3 linked regions of the Neodiprion lecontei genome follow. The protein of the gene in region 2 interacts with the protein of the main gene of each other region in a biochemical or structural test. Links are inferred from orthologs where the notes say so. Each region holds a gene or a part of one and is shown on either strand. Other genes may lie near its edges.

Region 1 (3,755 bases), on a different chromosome or scaffold from region 2:
TTAGCTTGGCCATTATATAATAAACTAAAAATTCTCCCAAAGTAGAATTTTTTTGCAAACTTTGAAACGATTGAAAGAACTGCTGCAAAAATGCTCTGAATGATTTGAGTCATTCAAAACAATAATTGCATCACTCACCGACGATGGTAATGTCATAAAGCATATGCCGCACTCTTCCGTTCCGTTTGTAGAAGTTCGTCGAGACTGAAAAACAATAGAACCAAGAACTGAAAAGTTGTTGAACAGAATGAAACGACAAAAGTTGAATGTTCTTCAACAGATTTTTCATCAATTACCAGAGATATTTGTGAAGATCTGGTCCTGTTAATGACGGGTCCTTTTCTAAAAGGATTTATAACGCGTGCTTCTGCAAATAATTTTTCTTGATCACCGTCATAAAAACGTTCCATTAATTTCTCTTTGTCCCATTTAAAATGATTAAGTAAAATCCTAGTCGTGGTTGCAGGTATCTAAAACGGTACAAAAAAGGCCTGTTAAATTGCATACTCAACAAAATGAATAAGGAAATTCGAAAAATATGGTAATTCATTTCTAGTAGTCAATTCCATTGAAATAAAATACACGAGTTGTTTCCTCACTCACTCACTCCTCACTTACTCACTCACTCACTCACTCACTCGCTCACTCACTCACTCACTCACTCACTCACTCTCACTCTCTCTCTCTCTCCTTTGCCAGATATTCGTAAATGCGAAAATTGTAAGGAAAGGGTGGGGGGAGTAAAAAAGACGGAAAAAAAGAAAACACAAACACGCTTATAGCTTGCAAGGTGAAATTGCAGCAGCAACTCGCATAATACATACAAGCAAGCATGAAGGCGATCAGCTGATCCGGAGAAGACAAAGAAGCAGTCTTGAAAACGGCGAGTGGATCGAAAATAGGAGTTGGGAGAGATAAACAAAGGACGAACGACCGCGATTTAGAGATCAGTGATCACTTATCGAGGATAAAAAGGTTTATATAAAGAGGTTTCTGTAATTTCGTTCCCGAGAAAATGTGATTTTTCTTCTTTGGTCAACGGCAAAATATATGTGTAGTTTTATCACATTGAAGTTAGTAACGTTATCGTAAAGATTCACGCCGAGGAAAAGCAGTTATATCGCGATTTTGAAATAGTCTGAAATTCGATAAACCGTAATAAAACAAAACACACTCACATTTCGAAATCTTGGTTCGTTCAAAATCATTGTAAAATTAGGAAAATAGTGACTTTTCTGCAATGGTTCGTTACGATAACGTTACTGAATTCAACCTCGTGTAGTTTTGACGTGACTGATTGCGAAGGCGGAGGAACGAATTCAATGACCGAAATCACTCACCTCGACGACGGTGTTTACGTCTTTAATCGAGTCCACCATATGCTGAACGATCTCTTCGGTCGATAAAACCTCGAAAGGATAATCGTCAATATCTGTGGCTCGTTCGCGGGGATTCCCGGACTCAATGTCCATAGCGAAATCGACGTCATCACCGCTGGACTCGTTACCCGAATCAACGTCGTCATAGGGTGTCTCTTCCTCAGAATCCATTATTATCGGGGTTTATTATGTATTTTGCTGGGCTACTTTGTTTATAGCGTGATTTTCTCCTCAGAAGACTGATTGCACGTTCTTCCCGTTTCTGCTCACCGTGGCCGTCGTGATTGATGGATAGCGAACAGAGATACGATCGAATGGATTTTTCGAGTATAAATTTTCCAAATCACGCGCGTAGACCAATTGTCCTTTTTTTTTTATTGTAAGATGCGTCTGTGTCTGTGTCTCTCGTCGGTTTGAGATATTTATCCGTTCACCAACACCAGCACGAAACTGTTTGTGAAACAGTTCGATAAGTATAATGACAAATGGGAATTGAAGGTGTAGGAGAACAGCAAAACAGGTAGTACGTACGACTGAACGAATAGAAAAAATAAATAAAAGGGAAAAAAAACTAAACAAAAGGAACAAAACTAAATAGAATCAAAGGGTGAAACAATGCCGCGATTAGTTTCGCGACTCGAGATTAGACGGGAACCCTACCACCTAGTGAATATGTGCGAACAAACGGATTCTGTGTGATCCGCACTTTACCGCGGGATGACCCCCGACGAATTTAGATTTCGCTGTATTGCGAGCCCAGAGAACGGTGGGAATAGTTGTGAAAACGACACAAAGGCAGCTAACGCGATTCGTCAACTGCAGCAACGGGTTAGCTAGGCGAAACTGGTGCCGTGCACCTGTGTTATTCGTTGTTCGGAGAACCAGCGAGCGGGCGAGCGACGATCTTTCAGCACATGACGTCACCGTAGCGAGCAGTGCTGGGTTCTGAAACGCGCAGAGAATCACGGGAAACTTTATACGAACGTACCGTAGGAGGTACACACATGTGTATACCCATACTTGTATGTAATATATGCTTGTGTAGGTGTACCAATATTATACATATGCACGCAGAGAGCGCACGGCACTTGGTATCATTATTTACCTAGTGACAGATAATCGAGACACGGGGGCCTTGTCGCGGCGTTATTTTAACCCCTTGGGTGATCCGACGGGGGGTCCCGTCTCCAGGACAAAGGGCTGGAGAATTAATCGAACCTATATCGCGACGTGCAACGGCTCTAAGAATACACAAATCAGCTGCCAAAAACACTCGAGCTTATATTCGGCAGCTGATCCACTAATGGCAGACGCGCAGAACGAGTCTGGGGGCTAGCGCCACGCCACGGCGTGTTTGGAAAGTTGTCATGCGAAAGCATATGGGGCGCCTACTTTTCAAGCCGCGGCCAATACCTGACGGTTTTAAATTTGTCAGGACCAATGATGAGCGCGGTTTGGTGACGTGACGTTTCGCATTCCGTTTTTTTTTCGCACCACATCCCACCATGCCCCATCATTGCAGCAACAGCAACGCGACGAACGAGCTCATTTCACTTCTGCTACCACTGCTGGAGTCACGTCCGTCATCCCGGAGTGGTGTTGCTGATGCTGACCGATGCTGTCCGCTGTTGATATCGAGTGTTATTTCGCTTCTCGATATATCGTCGCGGTATCGTCGACGCTGATAGGGTCTCGGGATTATAGGAGCGTGGAGGCGAAAATTTACGCAGAATTTCACTGTGAACTTTGAAAAGAAATACGGAAAAGCAAGAGGAAAAAAAAACAACGAAACTACCGCTCCGAGAAACGAGAAGAGGAAAATCGCGCGCGTCGACGCGAGTTGCGGCAGCGGAACTGCGGTCTGCAGATAAACGGCTTTGTGATTCGTCGGTAGGCGCCTTCTTACGCCAACTACGTGAAACGCCTAAGTCGAAGATCGATTATTAACGCGTTTTTCGTTTAATAACATGCGGACAATTTCGCACTGCTCGTACCTGTCATCCGCGACGAGCAGCTAACGCGCGAAACCTCGCTGGTTAATTGCGAGTTGAAATTCGATAAGGACAAACATGAGTCTGCCTACCATCAAGGATTACTCGCTCCTCGAGAAGATTGGCTCTGGAAGCTACGCGACTGTTTACAAAGCCTTCAAAAAAGTGCGTGTGTACATTTGAGGTTATGTTATACTATGTTACGTTATGTATTATTATGTATACAATATGGAAGGCTGTGATGAGAGAAACAATGATCAAATGGACGCAAAAACGTATGAGAAAAGAAAAAAAAAGAACAAAAAATAGCGACGTTAACTTCGAGAGTTTAATAATCCTTTGTGTAGGGTGGATCTAAGGATGTGGTCGCAATAAAATCGATGGA
Region 2 (3,755 bases):
AGAAAAATTTGCCAAGCCGATTCCCATATAAATTTCCTGAAAAATAATAAAGCATACGAGTTACCAATTTGTAGGTTAACCCAGTAATATTTATTACAAATAATTCAAGCAACTACAAAAATACTGGAAACAAAATACTGCAGTCCAAAACTTAATTGTGAATTCATAAAAGTAAGGCATAACTTACAGGCCAAAAATTATTAATGAGCAATGAGACTTTAAAGATCTAGAACGTGACCGCAATACTAGAAACTCACCTTGGAAGCAATGAACAAGCAAGTAATGCCGATAAGTTGAAGCTGGTTTTTGGGGACATTTTGATGAGACGACAGATACCTATCAACGAAATCCATTGCTAAGTAATATGTCTCCCTGTGTAACTTATAAACTTCGCAGACCTCGATAAGCCAGTCTAACAGAATAGCTCTCATTCGAGGTTGCAGAGTGGGATGCCTCTGAAACATCTGAGGATCCCTTTGAGTCAAAGACTTCTGATCCCCTAGGCACATCAGCGACCATACTTGTGACCCGTCCGCCCAAGGAAAGGAAGGAAGTGGACTGGGCCTGTTGGGCCCACCGTTGGACGCAGATGGTGTCAGGAAACAAGTTGCATTCCTGAGTTCGGACCAGCTAATTGGGTCCTGCTGCTCTGTTAAAGGTGAGGTTTGTTGCTGTTGTTGCTGTTGCTGCTGCTGCTGCTGCTGTGGAGTACGAAGACCATCTGCAGTTGAAGTCGAGTGGCAAGTTTCATTGGATGGTGTATGAGCAGAAGATATCGAGGGGACCTTCTTAGGTGGGTAAATATTTTCTGCATCCTCAGAGATCTCTGTGTTTCGACGTTTACGTTTCAGAGTTTGTGGCTTGCTTGTTGGCAGATAAATCTGTGATGGCTGCTTTTCCTGCAAGCTGAACGTGAGAAATATTTCGTTTTAGATCGTTTGTTATTGGCCAAAAATTTGTTCAACATTTCTACATTAAGATATTACGAGATCCATTCCCTGTTCAATCACATTTTAAACTGTGTAATTCTTTCTACACTTTCCTTGAAAAAGCACAAGTAGAGATAATCTTAATGTTGTTGTCCAATATTCGAGGCTTTGGTAATCAGGTGTTGAAAATTTAATCAAGTTGACTTGACGATATTCAAGCAATGTCACTAATAGAAAAATTAATAATATTCCATAAAAAAGCTGGTGTTTCAATCATTATATCGAATACTCTGTGATGCTGATTATAAATTTATATACAATTGCAAAGGGTGACGTTCTAAAACCCAACAAATTGGCGAATGCTGATCCAACAAGGCGGAGCTTTCTCGATTAAATTTTGGACTATGTTTACTTATCAGAATCAAATTTTTAGTGTTTGATCTGTGCATCAAGACACACTGGTACAAATACGCCTCATATTTGCTTAAATTCTAATTAAAGTTGAACAGTTATTGTAAAAAAATGTGTCAGTGACGAGAGACGTCAAAGGTTCGGTTCCACGACTCTGAAGGTATCGAAAAATTGTCAGAAATTTATGAAAAGAAGATATTTCTTGGAGAATGACTTTGGTAATCGATCAAATTGATTTTCAGTTTTATTGCAGTGAGTTAAGTGGGTTTTTCACCCTAAAAACCTGAGCCACTTAATGGCAGCCATTTGCAAGTAACTGGAACACCTCCAATAGGAAGATTTTTCGTGACCTCCACGTTGTTGGAAGAATAGAAACTTCTTCGGAAATACATTGTTCAGACTCAGAGATGAATTTAATAAGGTTTAATCGTTATAATAATAAGAGAATCAAATAAATAGAACCTTACTTTCGGAAAGTCGAGCCTCTTACCGGAATAAAATATTTATATATAAAATTGATAAAAATTTTATGCAAATTTCTATGGATTATTAAACTACGATCCAAATGGGATCTGAGTTAAATTAATTGGTGAGATAAAATATTTTTCGAGGTGTAAATGTGGCGTTCGTCGACCTACCTCGTTTGTGGCATCTTGTTCGTCGTTTGGTGGCGTATTTTATCTAACGACGAAGATCCAGGTGCGTATTGATTTTTTTAACGGATCGAGCGGATCTTATAGAATATTCGGAGACCGGATAATTAAAAATCACTATGGAATATCCAGAGTAAAATAGAAAATTACAGGAGGTCCGTGCATGCAGAGTTCACTTTACACACTCGCCATAATGCACAGTCTCTACGTTGACTCTGGCAAATTGATGTCGAAATATTATTTACCAGGGCTTGGAATGGTTCGCAATATTATTAAAAGTTTGCATAATTGGTTAGGGCCGCTACCTACTGGCTGGAATATTTATTTCTAATGAAATATCGAGGAGGTTTTCTTCTCAAAGCGCGGGAGAGTAGCGCGCGAAAAGGTGGCCAACCCCTAGTCGGCGGCTCGGTACTGTCACGCCCTCTGTACACACAACATAACCTCAAAAAAAAGCTAAAAATTTTCACCTCACTTAGAATAAGACGTCAAAATCAGTAACGTCAATATCCTATCTTATAAAAACGACGCGTTCGTGTTAAATCGCGAATATAATCCAACCTAATCGAACCGATGGTGGTCACATTCATCACTCACAACGTACACAATATTCTCGACTATTCTGTCACTGAGTACATACACAGTTCACTCTAACGCACCACCGCTAATCCGTGAACCTTTATCTTACGATTGAAAATTAACACGATTGCAGTTTTCACCGAAATGCAAGTATTACACCATCGCGCGTTTGCGGGAGAATGACCGGTTGTGTGACGCGCTTGCCGGGAGTGCATCGTTCGGAACAACCCGGATTGGTCGAACTCTGGCAGACAGCTGGCGCTCAGCTGATTTCTCCGCGCACACACAGCCGACTTCTCACTACGCATAAGCGAACACATAGATGCGGGCGCGGGAAATATCGCGCGTAAACTCAGCCTGCAATACCTTCGGCCCGCCAACGAGATGTCAAAGGATATCTTGCCACGTACCCCAATTCTTTAGGTGGGGTCTTTACCGGCTTTACTGACCACACTCACTATCATTAATTACTATTTACAATCCCGTCGTTTATCAACAGAGTTAATCATTCAACTACATTCGTTAAACGATAATACTCGTATGCAATCTATGCACGTACAATTGCGCGCGAAATTTTTCTCCCCATAGATTACCATCAACTTCATCCATCAAATGAGGTTTGTTTTACCGCTATGTATTTCTTTCCGGAATGCAATTATCGCCAATTAGGGACACGATACTTGTTACATCATAACAGCATTAACAGCTGCGTAAGCGATTTATTTTGCATTCTTCGATTGTCGGTTTGCAGTCATTTATAGTACGATAGAATATATTCAACTAAATTGAGTTGTCATCAATTGACGGCAAATTTTTAGAGTTCTCGAACAAATTCCAACATATCACGCTACAAATTTATTTACTTAAATTTTTTATTATGCTATAAATATACATGTATTGGTTGCTACAGTATTCGCTGTCTACGGAATATAATTAGTAGAACTATTGGTCTTCAGACGGAGCACGAATTTGGGGGTATCCTGCGACCATTATTCATCCTCTCACGGAAGGCCCTTGACATTAGAGTGCCCGTGACATTGGCTTGAAATTTGGACCGAGCGTGAATTTTGAACGCCTACGTCTGCCGGCATATCTCCGTAAACAGATGGCCTGTGAATCTGTTCTAGTATCTTAGTAACTGCAGTCGGAATAGATGAAAAAAAATAAGCGAGAGAAAAAATTA
Region 3 (3,755 bases), on a different chromosome or scaffold from region 2:
ATTTTGATCAAAATCACTTCGATACATTTTCACTTTATGCCGCAATTAAGAGGCAGCATGAATTCTACGAATCTACTATTGCAATATTGTAGAATCTGTGCCACTTCTGTATTTCTGCATCAAATCAACGTTTTATTCGGAATTGTGAATACATATGGAATGTGGCTGTTGAGTCCTTTTAAGGTACATGGACTTTGATAGATGGAGATACATATGGCAACGTCGAAATCGACCAGGGCACCCCCTATAATATATTATATCATCGAGTCAACGTGCTGCAACACGCAAAACCCCAAATACCAAACCTTGCATTTTTTTCTCACGGAAAATCGGAGCAATCATCAGACAGCCAGATATACATAGAATACTTTACCTTTCGTTTTGACTTTTTTGTACTTCAGCTTTATATATTTTGAAATCCTACGAAATACACTTTCATGTGTTTGTAAATTCGATGTGTGACCTTTTTATTTTCTGATTTTTCTACATTTTTGACTCCACCCGAATTCATCGGTTCTACACCGTTGAATATCACGGTGTTCAATGTTGATCGCAACATAATGCACAAACGCTATACGGTTGAAAAAAATAACAGCAAATATACGGGAATTTTGAATTTTCATATCGCTGGATACCCTGGCTTAAACATCATCTTATAGATGAACGAAATAATTGTCAGATTAAACTGTATTTCGTCAAGATAATTTCGATACTGCCTTTTAACCTCTTCTAACAAAGCCGTGACATTCGCGCAATTTCTCGTTTTTTAGGGGAGAATGAAAAAAAAACAATGTTATACCAGTAATGTTCAGTTGAGAGAAAATCGATCTTCATTTTTTCAAAATACCGAAAAACAATGTTCGACGTCATTGAACAGGATTTTACACAAATACATACCATACATACCCCTTTGACCTTTGCTACAGCAGCTGTCAGAATTGAATAACGATAACCAAGCAGCTGATATTTTTCCTACGGGGTCTTTCAGGAACTCCGGGATTGTGCATTGTGCACTCGGCTCATGTATAATAATAGCAAGGGTCTGAACACTGAAATGTTGCCAAGCAACTGAAGCCCACCTCACTTAAGACTCCCATTCGCCGGCAGATATACGGAACACGATTCCGCTACAATTCCAACAATGGTTCAGACCTAAACAATAAATAATTATAATATCCCGGAAATCAGCTGCAACTGTGCAAGATACTATTACCTAACAGCAAAACCTAATGCAAATTCTTACTCAAGCCGACGCTCTATGCGTCCACTATGGTCGTACAAATACCTCTGCTGCGAAGGAAATTACAATTTATGGACGTTTTTTCCATGGGATATACCTATATGGGATTATTGGAATATGGTTCAGGGCATCGACGATGTCAATTCATTTGCATAGATATAAATTGATGGCCCTGAGAAGGGCCGTTTAAATTATTTTTCTGACGATTGCTGGTGTTGGTGACGAAATGTAGCTGTTCACTTCTTCTTCGGTGCTGCAGCCGCCTTCTTGGCTGCCGGTTTGGCCGCCTTTGGAGCTGGAGCAGCCTTCTTCGGCTTCGGAGCCTTCGGTTTGCGGGTAGGTGCCTTGACTGCTTTCTTTGCTTTCGACGGAGTCTTTACTTTCGGTGGTTTTGCGGCCGGGCTCTTGACAACCTTGCGTTTCTCCGTAGCGGCTGCAGGCTTCTTTGCGGCTACCAATTTTTTGGCGGCGGTCAACTTCTTTGGGCTTTTGGCAACAGCTGCCTTTTTTGGTGCAGCTGGCTTTGCAGCGGCGCGCTGTACCTTCGGCTTTGCTTTCGGGGCGTCGGTCTTCGCGTTCGCGATCTTGAAAGAGCCCGAGGCTCCCTTACCCTTAGTCTGCAACAATACTCCCGTAGTAACAGCAGTCTTCAAGTACTTCTTGATGAAAGGAGCCTGTTTCTCCGCGTCGATTTTGTACGTGACAGCAACGTACTTCTTGATTGCCTGGAGAGACGATCCGCCGCGCTCCTTCAAGCTAGCGATAGCCGCGTTCACCATCTCGGAAGTACGTGGGTGCGCCGGTTTTGCACGGGGCTTCTTTGACTTGGGCGAAGCCGCTGCTCTTTTGGCAGGAACGGCTTGAACGGCTGGGCTGTTAGCTGCAGGGTTAGCTGCGACTGCCGGCGACGATGCTGATTTGTCTCCCATAGCTGATCGATCTAGTAGTCGCGATGAAATGATCAAAACACCACTACTGACAATGGAAAATTACAGCTGAAAGACCGTCAGAGACACAAGTAAAGTTTATACTGTTTAATGCGTTTGCGCGTATGATCACACTGGTAGTTGAGATGGATAATACTCGTAAAAAATCTGAGCAACAGTTTGCTAGTATAGGATAGCGCGGACCATGGAGAGAGACCGTGAGCGCGTTTTAGGCGGTGCGCTTCGCGACGTTCGCGCGTGCGACACTGACCGAACGGTATTTCCTCGGGTGTTTTACTGTCGCCATCGAACTCCTGAAGACCTCCTGTTGCTACCAGGTACTACGAAGTATGCTCTATCGACTACGCAAGATTTTTGAACCGTCGCGGTAAAGGATCCCTTGTAAAAATCACTCTCCGCGAAGCGTGCGTCTTGACATCGACCACACCCTGAGCAACGGTCGCCCTGGTGCTGACCTGGGGGGATGCGATCGAATCTTTTCCAATGTACCAGTGTGAGCTCGAAGCTTTGCTCTAGTTCCATGCAAAAGCCGAACCTCGTATCTGCACTTGTCTCCGTGATATAAGCGATTGAAATTCGGGAGGTCGCGACTAAGTCTACGACGAGCTAGACCTGCTTTTTGCAGACGAATGTCGACCCGGTAGCAGTGCCGAGGAACGTCGACCTGGGTGACAATGTCGGGAAATTGTAATTTCTGGACACATTCACGGTAACGGATGTCTAATTAATGAAAATTTGAACGTAATGACACCGTGCGAAGCTACTAGGACCGGCCCAAGGTATCCAGCAAGTCGAGGTTCTGCGTAGTTTGACATTACGCGGAGCAGCTGATTTGTGTATAAGGAAAATTTTCTGCATGTATTGATGGTGGAAGTATTGCATCGAATTTCCAGAAATTTTGATAATCACAACATTCTCAACTCAATTACGGCCAGGTGGCTTTTACTTATTGTTAAAGCTAAAGAAAGAAGTAAATCATTACACTGCGGTGGATTAATCAGGGATTCTTTAAATCGTTGAAAACTCGTGTAAATGTGGAACGTACGCTTGTATGCCAAGAAACTCTACATTTTGTATATGTATGATAAATGGTTCACGAATAAATGTTATGCGTCCGATTTAAGTTTGAATTTGAACCGTCTTATGACCTTGAAGTCAGCGTTGATCAAGGGAAGGTTAGCGAAATTGTTTTCTGGGACGACGTAGTTGCAATAAAGAAAAATGGAGCGGGTATACAAATGCGCAGTATTTTTCCATTAACTGACTGTTACGCTACTGCCATACATTTCAAACCGGTATATCGAAATACCGGATATGCTAGATAACTCGGTATGACCTGATTTCTGCAGCTAGCCCTTGGGTATCGTTATATTCTGTCCTAGATAATCCGTAGGACGTCCGTTCCTCTATTCCGGATAATATACAATCTTCATCTCATACCAATTTAACAGTCGGGTGTATTAATCACTTTTTTCCCCAACTTGACTGTTATCGTACAAATACTCGATGAAATACATGTGCACTTCAATCGCAATAGTCACAAAGAGAAGTATTTCATATGGTAACGT

Evidence for each region.
Region 1: of the proteins of G1/S-specific cyclin-E (region 2) and E3 ubiquitin-protein ligase ariadne-1, one has a biochemical effect on the other in vitro, tested with the Homo sapiens proteins (3 studies listed by BioGRID). The link is inferred for Neodiprion lecontei from reciprocal best matches to the Homo sapiens genes CCNE1 and ARIH1.
Region 3: of the proteins of G1/S-specific cyclin-E (region 2) and late histone H1-like, one has a biochemical effect on the other in vitro, tested with the Homo sapiens proteins (4 studies listed by BioGRID). The link is inferred for Neodiprion lecontei from reciprocal best matches to the Homo sapiens genes CCNE1 and H1-5.

The regions. Positions count from the first base shown.
Region 1 is NC_060264.1:27,113,985-27,117,739, reverse strand, and holds the start of E3 ubiquitin-protein ligase ariadne-1, read right to left. Parts: upstream 2,921-3,755; 5' UTR 2,793-2,920; exon of another isoform or gene 2,772-2,792; intron 2,722-2,771; exon of another isoform or gene 2,485-2,721; intron 2,325-2,484; exon of another isoform or gene 1,830-2,324; 5' UTR 1,551-1,829; coding exon 1,341-1,550; intron 471-1,340; coding exon 297-470; intron 205-296; coding exon 139-204; intron 1-138. Other genes in the region: serine/threonine-protein kinase ULK3, read left to right, coding at 3,449-3,535, 3,718-3,755. UniProt on the Homo sapiens protein: E3 ubiquitin-protein ligase, which catalyzes ubiquitination of target proteins together with ubiquitin-conjugating enzyme E2 UBE2L3.
Region 2 is NC_060260.1:36,153,337-36,157,091, forward strand, and holds the start of G1/S-specific cyclin-E, read right to left. Parts: upstream 2,803-3,755; 5' UTR 1,993-2,802; coding exon 1,979-1,992; intron 907-1,978; coding exon 258-906; intron 1-257. UniProt on the Homo sapiens protein: Essential for the control of the cell cycle at the G1/S (start) transition.
Region 3 is NC_060262.1:40,413,480-40,417,234, forward strand, and holds late histone H1-like, read right to left. Parts: upstream 2,312-3,755; 5' UTR 2,170-2,311; coding exon 1,477-2,169; 3' UTR 17-1,476; downstream 1-16. UniProt on the Homo sapiens protein: Histone H1 protein binds to linker DNA between nucleosomes forming the macromolecular structure known as the chromatin fiber. Histones H1 are necessary for the condensation of nucleosome chains into higher-order structured fibers.